Linked DNA regions of Ovis aries. Each later gene encodes a partner of the first gene's protein in a complex. Links are inferred from orthologs where the notes say so. Each region holds a gene or a part of one and is shown on either strand. Other genes may lie near its edges.

The links. The genes of interacting proteins can lie anywhere in the genome.
Region 2: the proteins of LNX1 (region 1) and IGSF5 are in contact, whole or in part, in a crystal structure (PDB 3VQG), measured with the Mus musculus proteins. The link is inferred for Ovis aries from reciprocal best matches to the Homo sapiens genes LNX1 and IGSF5. Residues at the interface, in NP_001153049.1 of Mus musculus: Gln396, Leu397, Gly398, Ile399, Lys400, Leu401, Val402, Phe413, Leu416, Pro446, Ala449, Ala450, Ile453; in NP_001171358.1 of Mus musculus: Val367, Thr368, Leu369, Val370.

Annotation. Positions count from the first base shown.
Region 1 is NC_056059.1:69,722,213-69,727,700, forward strand, and holds part of LNX1 (E3 ubiquitin-protein ligase LNX), read right to left. Parts: intron 2,047-5,488; exon of another isoform or gene 1,916-2,046; coding exon 1,677-1,915; exon of another isoform or gene 1,368-1,676; intron 1,271-1,367; exon of another isoform or gene 1,188-1,270; coding exon 1,035-1,187; intron 1-1,034.
Region 2 is NC_056054.1:260,559,256-260,565,449, forward strand, and holds the start of IGSF5 (immunoglobulin superfamily member 5), read left to right. Parts: upstream 1-2,679; 5' UTR 2,680-2,808; intron 2,809-3,140; 5' UTR 3,141-3,377; intron 3,378-6,194. UniProt on the Homo sapiens protein: Provides, together with MAGI1, an adhesion machinery at tight junctions, which may regulate the permeability of kidney glomerulus and small intestinal epithelial cells. Mediates calcium-independent homophilic cell adhesion.

The DNA of each region.
Region 1 (5,488 bases):
GCAGAGGGCAGTTTAATCCAGTGAGTAAACGAGTGGGCTCTGGAGCCAGAGGACACAAATTAAAATCCCAGGACTGCCATTTTCCAGCTGGGTGACTTTGGGCTAGTTACCCAGTCTCTCTAAACCTTGGTTTCTTCTTCTGTAAACTGGGAATCACAGTCCCCATCTCTTATCATTGTGACCTTTAAATGCCTTAGAGCACTGCCTGGCACCCAGGAAAGCTCAAAAGCATTCTTTCAGTTATTATCATTACTGCTGTGAAGCTCTAGCGTAAGATGAAAAGGAAAGGACAGGACAGTATTTTCTCAGCTCCATTTATAGTGAAAAAAAGATATAGAATCTAAGATCCAGAAACGTTATTTGCGTGAATTTTAGAGCCACATTACTTGGATTCCAAGTTCAGAAGGGGCAAACTAAGTAATTGCCTGGTACCTTAGTTTCCTCATCTATAAAACAGGGATGATAATTGTAGCTCCCTCATAGAGTTGTTGAAGAGTACATGAATTAATACATAGAAAACCCTCAGAATCACACATCACACAAGGTGGAGATAAGAATACTCATATGGCATTTCCTGTGTGCCAGGCACTGTTCTAACTGCTCTTCACTTAACTATATTATTCTTTATATACACTAAGCTAAGACCTGAAGGTAAGGGTTCCAAAATCTTTTCCCTCAATCTATGTAAAAAGAGAACAGTAGGGACTTTCCTAATAGCCCAGTTGTTGGGAATCTGCCTTCCAATGCAAGGGATATGGGTTTGAGCCCTGGTTCAGGAACTAAGATCCATGCCAAACTAGAGAAGCCGGTGAGCCGCAACAAGCACCCAATGTAGCCAGAAAAAAAAAAAAAAAAAAAAGGAAAAGTAATTTTTGCCTTTGGTTACTTATATAAGTAGAGTAATCAAGGTAAAAAATATTTATGCCCTTAGGAAGACAGGTGTCGTAGAAAGTAAGGGCTAGTCCTGTGGTCATCACCCCTGGCGTCATTCTAGAAGCCCAGGCCACGCCCAGCCTCATGGGGAAGCAACTTACCATCAAGGACAGTGGTGTTTTCAGAATCCTCTCGTCCCTGGTCAGCTTGGCTGACAACGGTACTTCCACTCTTTGTCCTTCGGAGAACACTCAAGGCTCGGTTTATTTTTTTAAAGGATCTGCTTCTGATGGTGGATCGCTCAAAGGGCCGTGCTGAAGACAAGAGAGAAAAAGGTCTTTTTAATGGACACGGCTGGCAAGATACACAACAGACTGCAAACGGTGATTACTTCGAGGTAGCAGGATGATACAATTTGCTTATCTGTATGTTCTCAGTTTTCTACAATGAAATATGGACGGTTTATTTAAAATCTGCTTGTCATTTTTTCCTAGGCTGGATGGAATATAACAGCACTTTTCTCGAGTTGCCTGGGTGGGAAGGTATGGACGCTGCAGGAGTGATGAATCACTAGGTCTAACTTCAACTCCTTTCACCAAGTCAGATTACACACGTTTCTAATGATCTCAAGTCCTCGTGGTTTCATTTCACTTTGGAGAACTGGATGTTGGGTTGTGGCCAAAACTACCAGAACAATTTCCTCTTAAACAAAACATTTCTAGGACTTTCCACAGTGACCGTTTCACAGAGGGCAGTCCCAAGGCAGAAGAGCCCATTCCCGGACAACCACCCATTTGACTCACCCCTTGTTCGGTTGCTCCGGCCAGAGTCCAGGGGGCTATTTGGCTGACCATCCTCTGCTGTGGACACGTAGGCAGGGTTGTCTAGGCCAGGCTCATCTGTCATTAAGGAGACGGTGGGAACTGTGGAAATCTCTGGGGACAGTGCTGTTGCTGTGAGGCTGGTGCTGCCATCTGGACAGCCATCCTGAGAGCGCCTCTTCCTGTCTTTAGTGAGACCGTAGTGGGAGGCACCTTTGCAGCTGTAACAAAGCCAGAAGGAGGTCAGAGAAAGCTTTGCACATCGCTCAGCTGGGCCTCTTCCAGCGCACGTGCTTGCTGCCCTCGGAAATTGATTTGCTCGCCCCTGGTTCCCCTCTCTTTTCACATGGAGGTAAGTCAATATACACTTGCCAATCAAATGAATGAATGACTTGAGAGAACAGCTTTTAAAATTCGTCTATTGCATTTTGTTAAAACACTCTCTATCCCGGTGCCTGAAATGCAAACTGTGAGAGTTGTCATGGGGTCACAAAGACTAGGGCTTGAGGCTGGCTATCTTCAACTATTTGGACGTGGTAATTCCTTCTTGCTGGTGTTTATCTTGACCATGAAAGCCCTTAGTCACCCTCTCAATCCTTTCTTTTGGGTTTAGTTTCCCAAACCACTGAACATAAACACAAAACTCCTCCCAGATTCCATATTTAACTGTCCATGGAAATAGAATCACCCGCATTACAAAGCCACAGGAGTTTGCTCAGCACCATGGTTCTCTAGAGGCCGGCTTGCTGGCTTCCAGTCCCCTGCCTTGGGGCTGGTCTCAGAGTGGCCAGAATCTCTGAGGGACTGAGGACTGGGGGCTCCCATGCACTAAAAATGTGCCTGTCTTCTAACATTGGGAGAGTAAAACAACATTCACGCTCTTTTAAAAAATAGGTCTATATCCATTCACCCTCCATGTTAAAGAGCAAGCCTAAGAGTCAGGAGACCAAGGTTCGAGTTTATCCAAGTCCATATTTTTGCTGTGAATGCCCTTCCATTGTCACTAGGCAAGTCATCTCAGCTCTTAGGTAGGTTTCGATCAGAAAATGCTGATGATTTCACTCTTTCAGTGTTGTGGTGAGGATGTAGCCACAGACAGCCACACCAGCTTCCCAGTGATCATGAAGGCAGAAATTGAATGGGCGAGTCCCTTTAAGAAGCGACTATTTGCATATAATGGATGTTAATTTCTAAATTATTTTCACCAACTCATTACAGAAAACTGGATATAATTGAGCTATTTTAGATAACACTTTGAGAGCCTATTTGGAGTGATGTTTCTGAAAAGCAGTCTGCAGTTGATGTGCCCGTAATTGATACGGCCTGAGAGAGCCATAGAGCTGGTGGATAGAAGGGCCTCTGTCTGGATGGAAATCTTTGCTCTGAAATTTACGTAGCTGTATCATCTGGGAAAATTTTGTTAACGTGGTTAAACTTTCTAATCTGCACATACATCTTGGGTTGCTGTGAAGTCTGCTAGACATTAGGTCTTGGCAAGAGTTTAGTATTTTGCCAGATATATGGAAAATTCTCAACAGATTGTAGCCACTTCTATAACTGAACCATCTAAGTTGCCTGTTTTATCACATTAACTTCTTTGAGATTAGAGTGCATGGGGGATGGATGGGGTTCCAAAACTTCAGTTGCCAAGCTGCAGTCATGATGCAAACGCCATTGTCCAAGCACGGCAAACATGGTAACAGGTGTCCAGCTTGTCCCTTCCATTGAGTTGCATCCACTCTTGGTACTAGGCCAAGTTTAAATGCTGTTCATTGTCTTAGAAAAGATTACATTACAATTAAGCATTGAAACGAAAAGTAACTGTATAAATAGAAACTCTCAAAAACAGAGCAGTGTCAAGTAAATTTGACATTGGCAAAGTAAATATTTGTCATTAGAAGGACAGCAATTTCCGATTTTCTTATGAAGAGACAAGCAGACGCTTTATTTGCTTAGAAAGAAAGATACCACCAAGGAGATGAAAAGTGGTGTCACATTTTGTTATTGAAATCATCCAAAAGAATGGGCCTCTTTCATGCCAAACAATACAACTAGAGGGCAGGAGAGGTCTGAATGGAATTTGTCTGAATAGATTTTGAAGTCTGATCTCACCAACTCATGCATTGCAAGGATATCTTTAACAGTGTTTTGGAATGATTTAACCAGTGACAGTTTTTAAAATTTTCTTGCTGGTACATAAAACATGATGCTTCTTATAATCAATGATGATGATTTTATGTGGTTTTAATATTAGTAGAAAAGGACTGATTATACAACCCTACCTACATCTTTATCTTATAGAAGATGAAATGGGACTCTAGCTTCTCATACTAGTCTTTCTCTCCCTGAAAGAGTATAAGCTTCTTGCTTGAACTGGTGAGATTTTACTGTTCTGATGAGCTACTTTGGCTTTGAATCATTCTGCTTAAAAATAGCAAAGTGGTTGATATGAGAAGCTCAAAAATTGGAAGAAACATTGTGTGATGGAAAAAATAAAAGCCAGCATGCAGTTGAGCAGCTCCAAAGTCATAAACACATGAGTGGAACACTTCTCTGTAAGCCAGCAGTCTCAGACTAGCAACACATGGGAAGGAAGTTCCTAGGCTATTTTGTTGGACTAGAAACAGTCTTTCTTTTCTTGGGGCAGCAATGCTCTTCACCATGTGCCCTGCCAGAGCAGGAAATGAATCTTCCAATTGGACAAATGACCGGCAAAGGCACAAGCCATGGCCTTCCGAGGGGATGGACCACATCCCAGTGGAAAAAAGTAGCATCTTGTTCTGCTGCCACATCTGTGAGAAGGGGTAAGGTATTTAAAGATCTCTGAATGCCAAGCCTATGCCATTAAGAAACCATTTCTGTTTCAGATCCTTGGGGTTCCAAAGACACATTTTAGTCCAGGAAAGGAAAACATCATAAAATGGCTAAGATCACTCCCCTCTGGCCTCGTACCTCAGCTATCCTTACAATAGCCAGGGAGGGTAGATTTAAACATTCAGACTCATAAGCTTTGTATAAAAAAGGTTCTGCTAAAGTGACTAATACTTGTGTAATGTTGCTTGTTTCAGCTTCTTGGATGAGCTTGAATCTAAGGCACAGCGTGATCTATGAAGGTAGCAGCTTGTACTTACTAATTATCTCTTTCGTGTTGACTGATCCTGGGGCCTCCTGATTTACAGGCACAAGTGAGGGGAGGAGGGGGAAAGAGCTGATTAGCCTTGGCCAATACAGGAACATATGCTGAACCCTGGGTTGTGTTCAAAGCAAACAGGATTTATTCTCCCTTTAGTTATCCTGAGCATTAAGTACTCTCAGGTGGTGATGGGTGACAGCCATGAACTTGAAGGATGAACACAAGGAACGTGGTAAACCATTTTTCAACCACTTTGGATATGCCATCTGTTAAAGTAGCTCTGAAGATCAGTTTTGTTAATAACAGAGTTGAGATCCTGAGCTCCTATATCAAAGTGAGCGGAGGCAAATCTGTCTTAATATAAAAATGCTGACACTGGGGGCATGTGCCATGGAATTTTTGTCTTTTCTGCAAGGGAGAGGAGAAAGTAAGAAGAGAAAATGAACCTCTTCTTGCAAAAATTCCTGAGTCCATGAGTTCACGGCTAATGGGGGTTGACTGCAAGCAGGTTGGACCTCTGGTGTACTTTACAGAGGTTCTGATGAGATCAGAGCTCAGTACAAGTTGGTTTGCAGGGGAGGGCTCCTTTCTGATGATAGAATAAAAGAGGTCCTTGAGAAATCAAGCCTCAATACACTCATTATAACAGTCTGGGTAACTA
Region 2 (6,194 bases), on another chromosome or scaffold:
ACGGTGCTAACTCCGAGGGTAGCGGTGGCTCCTCCTAGGAGGCTGGAGCTTTCTCTCAGCCACATACATATAAACAAAGTTCTTAGGAAAAAAGAGGCTTTTCTGAATACAGCAAGACAAAGGGTTAACCCAAACAAGGAAGAAAAAGACACCAAAAAGGCTCCTGTTAGACACAAATACTTCCTTTGAGCTAGACTTAATCCAGTCTCACTTAGTCAGCAGGCTGGGCTCTCCTGGAGTGAGGGTGGGGGTGTCACCAGGATACGGAACATGACTGGAGTGAGACAGAGGATCAGGGCTGGTGCAGGCAGACAGGACACCCTTACCGTCTTTTCCCTGGACAGCAGACCCTCAGTCCCGGAGGCCACAGGGCGGCTGATGCCCAGGCCGCACAAAGCAAGGAAGGTGGGTGGGACAGTTGCTGGCCCTTCACTGGTCCTGCAGGTGGCTGCAGAGTTCTCTCTGGCTCCGCTCGCCAGCCCAGCTGTGTGTCTTGAGGCGGAAGGTCTTCATTTCATCCTTGAAGTCCTCATGGTTCATGGGCCGGTAGTCTTGAGACTCACAGAAGGTCGGGTGCTGTGGGAAGAAGTCCTTGTAGCCGCCTTTGAGTATATACATCTCAGGATAGTAGAGGCTGGGGTAGTCGTTGGAGGCTCTGTCTCGTTCCCTGATGAAACGGCACATGCGGGGGTCCCGCTCAGATGAAAATTCACAGTGGAAAATGAGGATGATTCTCTTATCCAGGATGCAGGGTGTGATGGGGCTCTGTAGCAGGAAGGTCTCGGCATCCCGTTCCAGAGGCAGGTTCACAGCAGTCTTGATGTGCCCGCCTTCATACTCATAGGAGTATCTGCAGTCAACAATCACAAACTTCTCCACGATGTGGCTGAACTTGCCTGTCAGCAGAGCCACCACTGTTTCTGGTGAGATGTACTTGAGATCTTGGTGCTTTCCATCCACAGTTTGTAGGAGGAAGGCCTTGGAGTAATCCCCGATCAGTTCTCGGTGGTCATTGTCCAGGATATTCTCAATCTCATCATGACACAGAGACTTTGAGCGGAGAATGCGGGCTTTAGGTTCCTCAGCCTCCCACAGCTCCTCCTCTGAAGGGGTCACGCTCCTTTTCCACTTGTTCTATACAGGCAGATCCTGGTCCTGTGGGCGCTCTAGCCTCTTGAGGATGGGCCGGATCACACCGCAGGGCATGGACGGAGAGCGGAAGAGCCGCTGGCACTTGCTGTACATGATGAGGTCCTGTTCCTCTTCCTTTTCTGAGGTCTTGACCAGTGGGGCACTGATGAGGCTCTCCATGCCTGGGGGAACTACATCATTCTCCTTTAAGTCAGTCTCCAGGATATCCACGAATCCATCGTCTTCCTCAACAGCCCCTGTGGAGGGGGTCAGGGAGAAGTGGCATCGGGCCAGGGGGATCAGTTCCTCTCCTTCCATCTTCCGCTCAGGGGTGAGACACATCAGGTCGGGAGCTAAGCTTGGCCTCTGGGCAAAGTCTTCTCTGCGGCTGGCCCACTCCCCAAGAACACGGGAGTGGCAGGGCTGTGTGGGTTTCCCTGGCATCTTGAAGACAAATCCATCATTCTCTTTGTCCTCCCCAGAGCCGTAGGCAGCTTGGTCACAGGCCTCAGTCTTCCTCCAGGTGCCAGAAGCTGGGGAGTTGGTGATGTTCCGTAGCACAGGACTGTGGCCCAGAAGACTCCCTGGCAAGGACTGGAAACGTCGGATGGCAAACTGCTCATTTTGAATAACTCGGCTGGCTGCCTGGATGGCCTGTTCGAACCTGCCGAGCCCAGCGAGATGGTGCATAGTCTGGGTGAGGGTGGTGACCGGCGAGGAAGCGGCCGTGCACTCCGGAGACCCCAGGAGGCCATGAGCCCCCAGCCAGAGGCCCGGGAGGTGGCCAGGACGCTGGGTGCCACCTCGCATGCCAGCCGGACTGAGAGCCGAGCCTGCCACGGGCTCCGGCTGGGGCAGCTCCATTGCGGTGGGGCGGGCGGGCCTGGCGTAGGGCGACCAAGAGACGCTGGGCACAGCTGGCCTGGGCAAGGTAGGGAGCCGGCCCGGGGTGGAGGGGAAGGGAGGGAGGAAGAGCAACGGGGCAGGAGAGAGAGAGGAGAGGGAAGTGGGGAGGGAGGGACACGGGGACAAGCCACCAGCCCAGGAAGCCTCTAAGGACTTGACTTTTAAAGCTGGCTCTACTCCAGAGGACTTCACCCTCAGGACTTTTTTTTTTTTTTTTTTCTTTCACAAAAGAACCTGTTCTTGTGGACGTGGAGGAACCTGTCTGGGAGCAGGAACCGGCTTTGCCAGCCCCGGGCCTGTGCCGGAGCCCAGGGAGCAAGGTTGGTTGGCGGCCGGCCGGGTCCGCGTCCATATCTATATCCACAACCATGGGCAGGAAGGGTTTGCTGTCCTCTCACTGGGGCAGGAGGCTCGGGCCTGACTCTGCTGGATGTGAGAAAGCTCGTGGGCGGGAACTAGGGGTGGAGGCCAGGTGGAAGTGCAGCCGTGGCCCTGAGGCGGGGCGTTGTCCGTCTGACCGTCTGACCGGCCCTCGGGCTGGCTGATGATTAACTGAGAGTCTGCTGTTCTGGGCCCGAGGCAGGAGGCCACCTCTGTGTGCACAGCTTGGCTTGTGACGTGAGCCACTTCCTGGTAACAGCTGAGTACCGTCCAGATTCTCCAGTGGCCGACAGATTTGTTCCTGCGTCTGTGTGGGGAGAGGTCGGAGGCAGGAAAGAGGGGACCAAGAACCTTCGCTGAAGGCCCGAGAGGCAGATACACCTGCCACAGGTGAGACACCCCGTGGGTCTGGTGTGTGGCCAGTGGACTCCCCACAGATACCGGCTTCCTCCTGGGGAGCTGGTGCTTAGCTCCTGGAGGCCCGCTAGCTGCTGGCCTTGGGGGGAAAGAGCAATCTGAGGCATATCTGTTTCCCAAATTCCACAGAGTTGAAATGAAAACTGGGATGCCCTGTGAGTGTAGGAATTTGAGACAGTTTCTCAATTCTAGCTTCACTGGGAGCTGTTCTTGGGTTGCGTTGAAAGCTGAGACTTGGCTGGAAAATTCCTGGCATGCCTGTTATTCATCGGACAGACTTTAAATGCTGTTTATTCTTCCCCAAGGCTTCCTCAGTGGCTCAGCAGTAAAGAATTCTTCTGCAATGCAGGAGATGCAGGAGACTCAGGTTTGATCCCTGGGTTGAGAGGATCCCCTGGAGGAGGAAATGGCAATGCACCCCATATTCTTGCCTGGAGAACACCATGGATGGAGGAACCTGGCGGGCTACAGTCCACTGGGTCGCAAAGAGTTGGACACGACTGAACAACTGAGCACACACACATATCTTTCTCCAGTGAGAGGTTTGATGGGAGGGAAGTTGCTCTAAATCTCTGGAAGTTCTAAGACTCCCCACATCTGGCTGGCAGAGTCAGCACCCCTCTGAATGTGGGGGCACCCTGAGCTGGGGTACTGGGTGGAGGAGGCGCCCTGATGCCTTTGTATGTGCACATAGAGGTTTGCAGAGAGCCCCTTGTGTGCATTTAAATTCTCACTGTCTTCATTGTTTTGGGGTTTAGAATTTATGTTGATGCCTAAAGACAGGATGTCTGCAGCCCCTGAATTTTGCGATATCAGACTGTTTCCAAGAACCCAGCCATAAGGGTGTGTGTGTGTGTTATGGGTAAATAAACCAGATGATCAAATTCAACAATTTCCTTCCTGAGATGATGAGTTTGCTGGGTGCAGACGGGTCTGCTCAGTGTTTCTGCCTTGTCTGGGCAGTAAAGAGTGGTTGGCATTTAAATCCTGTCCTGATGCAATTTAATAAGATTTAAGACTTTTAACATTGCAGTTCTTCAACTAAAAGCAGGTAACGCAAGTCGTCTGAAATAAATGAATGAGAAGTGAAATCTTAGACTACTCCACCAAGATATGAACTTGCAAATTACCTGGCAGAGATTTCCTTTAATTAAAGGGACTTGTCTGAGCTCAGTTACAACTTGAAATCAACCTGAGGACAGTTATTCTCTGTACACACCCTTCAAATAGGGTCTGCTCACAAATCCACATCTGGGTTCCTGTAGCACTTGGGGTGTTCCTATACCCCAGCCCGGGGGCTGCTGCTGAGCTTTTAGGAATGGACTCATTCTGTCACACAGAGAATAAGTGAATTGTCATCTGGTCCTAGTTGGCAGCTGGAGTGACCCTGACTATCAGTGACTAGAAATACTTCATGGTGGACCTTAAGCTCTTGCTGCAGTTTATTGCTTTTGGTAAAATGTGTGACTTTTATAACTCGGCAGCTCAATTTCTCCTCCATCCTCTGCTCTGGCCTAGATTCTAGGTGACTCGCCGAGCAACTGACTTGTCCACTTGTGTTCATCGAACCTTGAAAAAATTAGCAAATGATTTATTTGGTGCTTGTTAATTTGGGATCTTGGATCAATCTGGGAAGCCCATGATTTTAGTTTGTGTTCAGCTGCTGGACAGCTTGGTGAAAGTGAAAGTGTTAGTTGTTCAGTCATGTCTGACTCTGTGACCACCAGGGACTGTAAGCCTGCCAGGCTCCTCTGTCCATGGAATTCTCCAGGCAAGAACACTGGAGTGGGTAGCCATGCCCTTCTCCAGGGAAGCTGGGAATCAAAGCATATTTGCAGGAATTTGCTGAGTCTGTTTTTGATGATGGGAGAGGCTGAGGTGGGATGCTCCTGCCACACAGGTACCATGACCCCTTACATGACATAGCTGCACATGAGCAGACGTGGTTTCCTACACAGGCTGAAATTTACTTTCCCAAGTCATCAGAAAACAAAGAGGCGGAAATCCCACATTCCTTCTCGTGATCTCGTGAGCAACCAGTGACATGCTACCATGTAAAGAGGGGATCACCGGCCTGGGAGTCCTCAATCCTTCCCACCCGAACTCTGTCTGATTCAGCAGCTTGTATGTGGTGCCTTTTGCAGGTGGAGATGATGCAGTTATTACCTGTGTCTATTTCAGTTCTCATATCTCTGCTTGTGGGTTGTTGTGGGGCCTGCTTCCTACGTCTTGTAAGAGAAGACAGGATGGAGCCTAGGGTGGGTGGGTCAGCTCGTCACAGAACCCTGTGCAGGGTCTCTGATGGAACCTGTTGCCCCCAATTTGGGGGGGATGGGTTGTATCCCCCAAGTGGAAGTTTGAAATCTGTGTGGATGCCAAAGCCAGTGTGAAAACTCCTGGCAGGTCAGGTCACTGTGCTAAGGATGGGTGAAATAAAGAGCCCCTAGAAACAGTTCAGAATACATTCAGTGGATGGCTTCAGTGCTCCAAGCAGTGCTGGTGACAGTCTTGAACAGGCCTGTCCTAGGGAGAAGGAAAAATAAAACTAAAAATGAAAGGATAGGGAGTGAGCAAGAGGGTTATCACAGAAAAATGTGTGGGCCGAGATACATGCATGACAAGATTGCCCTGTGCTGCAAGGGGCCAGCAAGGCCTCACCTGGTCTACGCTGACCGCTCCCCTTCCACTCACCTTCACTCTCTGCCCAGGCCCCCGAGTCTCTCTGTGGTTCCGCAAACGAACACAGAGGCACAGTCCCACCCCAGGGCCTTTGTACCTGCTGTTCAGCCTGGGAGGCCCTTCTGCACTTACCCGCCTGCCTGTCACCTGACTGCCTTCCCTACTCATGGGACACCTTCTTGGAAGCCTTTCTCCCATCTCTCCTTTGAAACGTCAGCCAGCACATCCCACACACCCCCTCACACACAATCCTCTCTACTGTTTGTCTTCATACCTCTTACCACCTTCTAATAAGCTTATGATCTAGGTCTTCATTTTGCTATTTTTCTTCTGATAATGTAAACTTGTGGGTAGGATTGCTTTTTCTCAGTGATTAGAGCATCCATTCCCATCCATATAATGGAAGGGAAAAACAGTAAACCCACACTCAGACCTCTCAGTCAGTGATTTTGTGGTCATCGTAGAGCATAGTAGGTGTTTCCATGATTTATGCATAGGCTTGGGAGCAAGATCACTTATTACAGTGATTCTCAGACGTGAGTATGTACCAGAATTGGTCCCATGCTTAACTTTGGGCAGAATTCTTCCTGCTCACCCCCTAGACCCAATCCAGTAGGTCCAGGGTAGGCCTGAGAATCTGCTTTTCTAAGAAGTTCCTTGGCGGCTCAGCAGTAAAGAAT